Linked DNA regions of Macaca fascicularis. The protein of the gene in region 2 interacts with the protein of the main gene of each other region in a pairwise test. Links are inferred from orthologs where the notes say so. Each region holds a gene or a part of one and is shown on either strand. Other genes may lie near its edges.

Region 1 (4,335 bases), on a different chromosome or scaffold from region 2:
GAAAATACCTATATCACTAAATGTAATGATAATTGTCAGGAATTTATGCTAAATTTGAAACAAACATTTGGGTTGAATATTTCTAAGAAAGGGTCATGTTATCCAAGTTTATTTTTGCACTTTGTCAAGCCTAGAGTCTACATATTATCCCTTCATCCCTGATTCAGACCAAAAACAGGAAAAAAGCAGTTACTTGAATTTCACCCAATTTTAAAGGGTGAAATTAAGTACATCCCTGGCTCATCTACTCTCAAGAGTATCATATCTACTAGAAAATGGACCAAAAACCTGGATGAACTAAGTTAGTCTTTTTTTTCCCCATCAGGCAACTTAGTTGTCTGTCAGATATAACTGGATAGTTACCCAAAACTAGCACCCCTTAAGAGAACACTCTTCTTATAACATCTGGTTTATTTTTGGTTGAAGGGCAGCACTGGGCTTCATGAGAAAACCTAATAATAAGGGGCTTAAACCTATTTGACCACAGATAAAATAGGTCTTTTGTAAATTGTTTTACCAGATTCATAAAACTGTGGCAAAGGAAAGGTTTATAAGGGCTTCATTTATACAAATTTAATAAAAAGAATCAAGGGAAATATGGGACTGAGACACCCCAAAGGGGTAAATGTTAATTTAATAAGCTATTTAGAACCACAGACTGCTGACATAGCATTAAAACACCATGTGACATGAACATTTCCTAAGGTCCCTCGGGCCTGTCAATGTGATCTACCACAGGGACTGACCTCAATACTAAAAAGGCAGATGGCTGAGTAAGGTTGTGTGTTTAAATCAAATGGTCTGAGAGTGTGTACCCAATAGCCAAATGCTCTCATCTTAATTTTCCACTAATTCTTTGGCTCTTTCTTTCATGTAACACACGGTCCCAAGCTTCTCAGCTCTCTAAGTCTGGATCATCTTGCTATTTAGGGAACAATAACGAGAACTGGCATTCATTGATTGCTTACCACAGCCAGGAACTGTGCTAAGTGCCAGACTGTATGATCTCCTGGATTCTGCAAAGGTTGCTGTCCACACAGGGAACCCTCAGGGACCCATTCTACCCTGCCCTTCTTTGCCTAAAATTATTTCTTATCCTTCAGCTTCCTTCCAGAGAATACTTTCTCCAGGAAGCTTTCCTGGCTGTGATCAAGAAAAAGACATACTTCCTATGTGTTATAAGAGCACCCTATACTTTATCACAGCATGTTCACACAGTACTTTCTCTCACTAGACTGTTAGTTTGTGACAACAGGACCATAAAGGTGTTCATCAGCAATGCCCGGCACGAAACGCTCACATATTAGTTTGATAAACTATTTTAAACAAAGAGTTCAGTCCCCACTGAAATGTTGAGTTCAAAGTCATGTACTATAGTAACTTACCTTTTGTCTGAACCCATTGTCCCACTGAAGATCTAGCACACAGCTCCAAAAGGTTCAAATTTTATTTTTTCTAGGAGACAAGAGAGAGTAATTGCTGTAAATCTCAGAGATCACTTAAGTGAGCAGCTCCATAAGCTTGGATACTACTGAGGCTGGGAGTTCATCAAACCTTCAAATCACTGACAGCGATTATCTAAGGTAGGGAGGTGGTGGGGACAAACTGTCAACGTTAAAATCATGCTAATATTTTGTTAACCATGAGCAAAACCGGAAGATTAAGAATACTTTAAAATATTAGATTCCAGATTTAACAACAGAATCATAATATGGAGCAAGCAGAAGACTCCTTCCCTGCTCCTACCTTAGAATTACAAAGCAAAAAGGGCAGAACTGCAATGAGCTCCTTTGGTTTTGTATCAAAGCAACTCTAGTGGGATAGTTGACCGTTAAAACATTAATCCAAGTGTCTTCATTTAATACAAAGAGCAACATGAAATTCAAACATTTCTGATGAAAAATTTAAAACCTCGTAGAAGCTGGGATACTGAGCTGACTGAAATCTACTACATTAATAACATATCGCATAAGACAAGAGCAAAGCTAGAAACGACCTAATTCCTAGGTAACAATAACCACCACGTCTTGAGTCAGTTCTTATGACTACAAACCACTGAGTGGCGAAGAGCCCGGCCCACCTGCTCCCCGTTGGTAATGAGACATCACACAGCTGGACCGCGTTCGATGAGCGCGAGGTCCGAGAAATCAGTTCCAGTAGTCTCTGGAGCCTAATATAGAGCGTATGCTCAATGATTTGTTGAAATTAATAAATGAAAAAGAACCACTGGGGGGAAACAAGTCCCGAGGCATATTCACTGGTGCTGCCCCTTCTCTCCCGGGCGGTGCCGGCACCCACCTCCGTGGGGTCTCGCGGCAGAGATGGCGGCGTCACGGCCTGCTCGACCGACTCCAGCGTCCGGCCTGCCCTCCCCGCACACACCCCTCCCGCCTCCCAAGAGGTTCCTAACCCGGAGATCGGCCATCACCGAACAGCTTTTCGGAGAGGGCGATTCAGTTGCAGTTAAGGGGGGATGGCGGCCAGAGACTGCCAGGGCGCTCCCGAGGAGGGCCAGAGGGACAGGCGACGGCTCCACTGCTCCGCTGGGCTGGAGATTAGGGGACGTGTACCCACAAGGGGCAAAGTCACAGCCAGAGAGAAGCAGGCCAGAGGCTGAGCTGGCTGGACGACCTCTGGAAACTGACAGAGCTGGCAACAAGGAAGGGCGCGGCCCTCCAACGCCTGGGGTAATTTAGCCCCTCTAGAGAACCGGCTGGAGCTGATCAATCGCCTCCGGCAGCTGACAAGGGAGGCCTGGGGGCCAGCCCCAATGGCAAGAACCTACCGTCGTTAGACAGCCACCGCACTTACCCCAAGGAGAGACCGAAGCAGCAGTAGCGGTTCTGCGTCCCCGAACCTCCAACAAGATTCGGCTGCTCCACAAAATGGCGCCTCCGCCGACGGCCGTCTCCTACCCACAGTACCTCACGCCTATCCCCTCCCTTTGTCACCCGCCTCCTGCGGATGAGTCCAATCCTCTAGGCGGCCTGGCTGCGCGAGGGCTGCCGGGAAATGTGGTCGCCAGACCATCCTTGTCACTTGGGACGCTCTGTGTTTCTTGCAATTCTCTTCTAAATCACCACAGAGTTGTCGATCGGCTTTTGCAGACCTGGATTTGTTTTTAGGGCTCCTCTCTATTAGGCATGGTAATAATTCTTTGCTTTTGCTACTAGCGCCATAGAGAGTACAGTTTGCTTTCACTGGCACGGTGTAAAACATTGTTTAATGTTTTACATTAAAAGGAGACCGTGGGTGGCGTGGTGGCTCAACCACGATCCAGCATTTTGGGAGGCCGAGGCAGGAGGATCGCTTGAGGCCAGGAGTTCGAGACCAGCCTGGACAACACAGTGAGACCCTATCTCTACAAAAAATAAAATTAGCTGAGCGTGGTGGCGTGGGCCTCTAATCCCAGCTACTCAGGAACTGAGGTGAGAGGTTCGCTTGGGCCCAGGAAGTCGAGGCTGCAGTGAACCGTGCTCTCGTCACCGCACTCCAGCCTGGGGTCAATGTGAGAAACTGTCGCTGAAAAATAAAAAGGAGGCTGGTGCCGGCCGCAGTGGCTCACGTCTGTAATCCCAGCACTTTGGGAGGCCGAGGTGGGCGATCACAAGGTCAGGAGATCGAGACCATTCTGGCTAACTCGGTGAAACCCCGTCTCTAGTAAAAATACAAAAAATTAGCCGGGCGCGGTGGCGGGCGCCTGTAGTCCCAGCTCCTGGGGAGGCTGAGGCAGGAGAATGGCGTGAACCCGGGAGGCGGAGCTTGCAGTGAGCCGAGATAGCGCCACTGCACTCCAGCCTGGGCCACAGAGCAAGACTGTGTCTCAAAAAAAAAAAAAAAAAAAAAAAAAAAAGGAGGCCGGGCGAGGTGGCTCAAGCCTGTAATCCCAGCACTTTGGGAGGCCGAGGAGGGTGGATCCCGACCTCAGGAGCTCAAGACAGCCTGATCAATATGGTGAAACCGCGTCTCTACTAAAAATACAAAAATTAGCTGGGCGTGGTGGCGTGTGCCTGTATTTCCAGCTACCAGGGAGGCTGAGGCAGGAGAATCGTTTGAACCGGGGAGGCGGAGGTTGCAGTAAGCCAAGATCGTGCCACTGCACTCCAGCCTGGCTGACAGAGCAAGACTCAGTCTCAAAATAACAATAATTAATAAATAAATAAAAAGGAGGGGCCGGGTGTGGTGGCTCATGCCTGTAATCCGAGCACTAGGAGGCCGAGGCAGGTGGATCAGTTGAGCTCAGGAGTTTGAGACCAGCCTGGCCAACATGGCTAAACCCGGTCTCTACTAAAAACACAGGCCGGGCGTGGTGGCTCACGCCTGTAATCCCAGCAC
Region 2 (3,817 bases):
ATATCAGACCACAGAATAGCAGGTATGAAATATAACTTTAGATATAAAGACAAAGGTACAAAGTTTTAAACGTTGAGCCCACCAAAATCCACAACCCAACCCAGGACAATTCGCTAAACCTAAGTTTCTCATAAACCTAAACCTCATTTTGCTCATCCGTAAAGTGGTGATGAATATCTTCCCTGCAGGATTATAGAAAAATGTAAATAAGCTAATACACGTAAAGTATACAGTGTCTGGCTTTACCCAAATGTCAATTAAATAGTAAGTTCAGAGTTACAGTCTTCCATGTAATTTGAAAATTCTTTACATTTCCGTAAGGTGATTTTTGAACACCCTAACATCAATTCTAAGTTTTCTTTCATTAAAAAAGAAAAATTGGGAAGGCTAAGGCAGGAGGATTGCTTGAGCTTAGGAGTTCAAAACCTCAACTCTACAAAAATTTTATTTAAAACTTAGCCAGGCACTAGTGGCATATGCCTGTGATCTCAGCTACTTGGGAAGCTGAGGCAGGAGGATCCCTTCAGCCCAGGAGGTTGAGGCTGCGTTCATACCACTGCACTCCAGCATGGGTGAAAGAGACTCTGTCTCAACCACAACAATACAAAAGAAAAGAAAAGAAAAGAAAAGAAAAGAGAAGAGAAGAGAAGAGAAGAGAAGAGAAGAGAAGAGAAGAGAAGAGAAAAATGGTACGAAGGCTCAGTCTGTAATAAAAGCTTCCTATTTTTGTTGCTACAGTACCTTCAAAATGTCTATGCACATGTAACTTTAGAAAAAGATAAATTGTGTATGCAGTATGTTCAATCTCTGCATGGTAAGGCAGGTAATTATTAAATTAGCTTTAATACTTTTCTGATTTTTTCAAATTTTCTACAATGATCAGGGACAACTACTTTTGAAACCGAAAGAAATTTTTAATTAATGGTTCAGGCTTAAATGTATAAAGAGTTACTTCTCACCCACAGCAAGAAAATGCAAATTAAAAAGTACACTAGAATGCAATTTTTCACCTATTGGATTTGTAAAAATTCAAGTTCAATGATACGTTTTAATAGTTTCCCACGTATGTTCTCATACATGCTCATGGAAAAGTAAATTAATACACTCCCTCTGGAAGGCTATCCAGCTTTCTGTATCACAATTACAAATGATCTTCTGACCCAGCAATTTGATTCCTACAGAAACACTTGCCCATGCAAAACCACCATGGGAAACAGCCTAAATGTCTATCAACAGGGGTCTAGTTAATAATAGCCCATCCGTGTTTAAAAAATATCCTAGATATATTACAAATAAGACACTAGTAACAGTGTTTAGTTCTATGGGGGGGATGACTAGATGGACAAAAGTCACGAGTATAGACTTTATATCCTTTTAGCACTTCATTTTTTCGAAAAATAGATATTTGCATGGCTCAAGATACTATATTAAATACAAACGACAAAAATCTACCCCAGTGGTTGATTTCTCCACCCAAGCACCAGAAAATAAACTGTGTATCCCTAAATCTGTACTGTCCTAGAGTCAAAATGGGTGGGAGAGCATCACTCTGCCATACTTAAGGTAACAAAATTTGAAAAGCGAGCACCACTATTTTCCCCTAGACTCAGGGGAGAGAGGTACTCTCCATAGGATTTCCACTCTGAAATTCAGAGTGCCAATTAAACATCAAAGCAGCTATTCTTCAAGATGTTCCATATGACAGACAAGGGAAATGACCACCAGAATCAAATATGCAACATTTGCTAAACTTAAACATAAATAAAATATGTACCATGGTATACAGTAACTCACCTGTGTTGTTTTACCAGACCCAGTCTCACCAACCAGTACAAAGGACTGATGTCTAACCAGAATATCTGTAAACCTATCCTTGTATTCCCAAACAGGGAGCTGAAGCCGTTTCTTTAGAATATCATAGTATCGAGGAGTATGGGGTAAGTTGGTGAACGGATTAATGCACTGTGGAAGTGACGTGTGACCTGCATGTCCGGCGTGCGCTGAATGAGCAGAATGTGTCGAATGCGTTGAATGCGCTGAGTGGGTTGAATGAGCTGAATGGGAAGCTTTTAAAGGTGGTAATCCAGCACTGATAAGCATAGCATTCGTTGAAGCTCGCAACTCCTTCTCCTTTTCTTTCTCCCTCTCCCGCTCTCTATCTCCTCTATCGCGTTCTCGGTCTCGATCTTTAGACCGATCTTCACGATCCCGGTCTCGATCTCGATCCTTCCTAAAAACAAAAATTTAGAATTCAGATTCTGAATTTTAAGCAGAATGTTCATGTTAGTGTTATAATCACAAAGAGAGTAAATGTCCAACATTCAAGTGAGTAAAAAATCCAATGGATTATGTAACTATCAGAAATAATAAAAAAATACCCTACAATTAAGGGCTTCTCATTCTCCACCACAAACATCTTTCCCTTCCTTGCTGATGCCTCAGCTTCCTTAACTTTCAACGTAAGGTTACAAGAACTCAGTCTGCTGCAAGTAAAACCCCTCCTACTTAGACAACAGAAATCAGATACTGAGAGTAGGATGAAGAAAGGATAGGTCCAAATTGAGCAAAAGAAGATGGCATCTCAATCTTTCTCAAATTCTCCTTCAATTTGTGAAGAGGTATTTTTTGCACTAAAAGTATATTCAGAAGTTAGCACAAACACTGTTACTGGACATAAAGACAACTCTACCTCACATTACTACAGTCAACAGTGGTGGGTTTTGCTCAATACTTTTATAATCCACATTTAATAAATTGTTTTAATATTCCTTTCTTTGCCATAGGACAATGTTTGGTTGTAATGCAAAGTGAAAAGGGCATAGTACAATGTTATACATATCAATATCTCAACTAATACAAATATGAATTTCAGGACTGCAGAATTTGTTTTTTTAGTTATACTTTCCAGCACTTTCCCAATTTTGTTCAGTAAATGTATACTGTTTTATAAGAAAAACTAAAATTAAAACTTTTATTCCTTCTTCCTTGTTTACTCTTGCATTTTAACCTTAACAGCAACAGTAAAAAACTGAAAGCACTCTATAAAGCTATGTACCTTGGTCTACCATAAAATGAAACATAGTCAAATTAAAAATAAGCTTCAATGAACACTATTAAGTTGTTTAACATGTTAAAATTATGCAGGTAGCCACTCTATTAAACTTGGGTCAATTTTAAGTAGTCAATTCTGGTATCTACTTCCAGTTATTAGAGATTGACCTTAATAAGTCATTTTAAAAGTATCTATGCTAAGAACTTCACAAGCAGAAGGGCTGCATGTTGCTCATATGCGTTGTGGCTGAAAGCAGCCTCTGGGAGACTGGTGGTGGAAATAAAATAATCTAGGCTTGTTCATTCTACTAGTCCAGTTTACTACAGACCAACTACTCCAGCAGAGAAACTTGCCTCAAGATGTTTAAACCCAGACTTGAAATAATCAGGCATGATGGAGCTATGACACAAGCCCCTAAACATATCATTGTTCCTTACCCACAACACACAAAAGTACAAATTCCCTGTGCTCCAAGTACAGTTGTGTGCCATGTACAAATTTACTCAAAGAGAAGAAAAGCCAGATATATGCATATGTAAACATGAAAAGTGATTTTCCCCTCTTCTATCCCAATGTTCACCTACAAAACTCACAGAGCATACAAGCCAGAACTGTATGAAGCCTCTCATCTCACCTGGCATAAACAGAAAGAAAATCAATGGGAAAGAAAAGTCAACGGATAACTTAAAAAACATAAAATGAAGTCTCACAATTCAATACTTGAGAGTCTGGGCCTACCTTCCGAAATATGCCATCAACCATCTT

The links.
Region 1: the proteins of DHX15 (region 2) and RBM5 interact in binary tests that used the Homo sapiens proteins (3 or more experiments, as listed by UniProt). The link is inferred for Macaca fascicularis from reciprocal best matches to the Homo sapiens genes DHX15 and RBM5.

The regions. Positions count from the first base shown.
Region 1 is NC_088376.1:113,111,514-113,115,848, reverse strand, and holds the start of RBM5 (RNA-binding protein 5), read right to left. Parts: upstream 2,920-4,335; 5' UTR 2,812-2,919; intron 1,456-2,811; 5' UTR 1,403-1,455; coding exon 1,386-1,402; intron 1-1,385. UniProt on the Homo sapiens protein: Component of the spliceosome A complex. Binds to ssRNA containing the consensus sequence 5'-AGGUAA-3'. Regulates alternative splicing of a number of mRNAs.
Region 2 is NC_088379.1:23,690,775-23,694,591, forward strand, and holds part of DHX15 (ATP-dependent RNA helicase DHX15), read right to left. Parts: intron 2,231-3,817; coding exon 1,795-2,230; intron 1-1,794.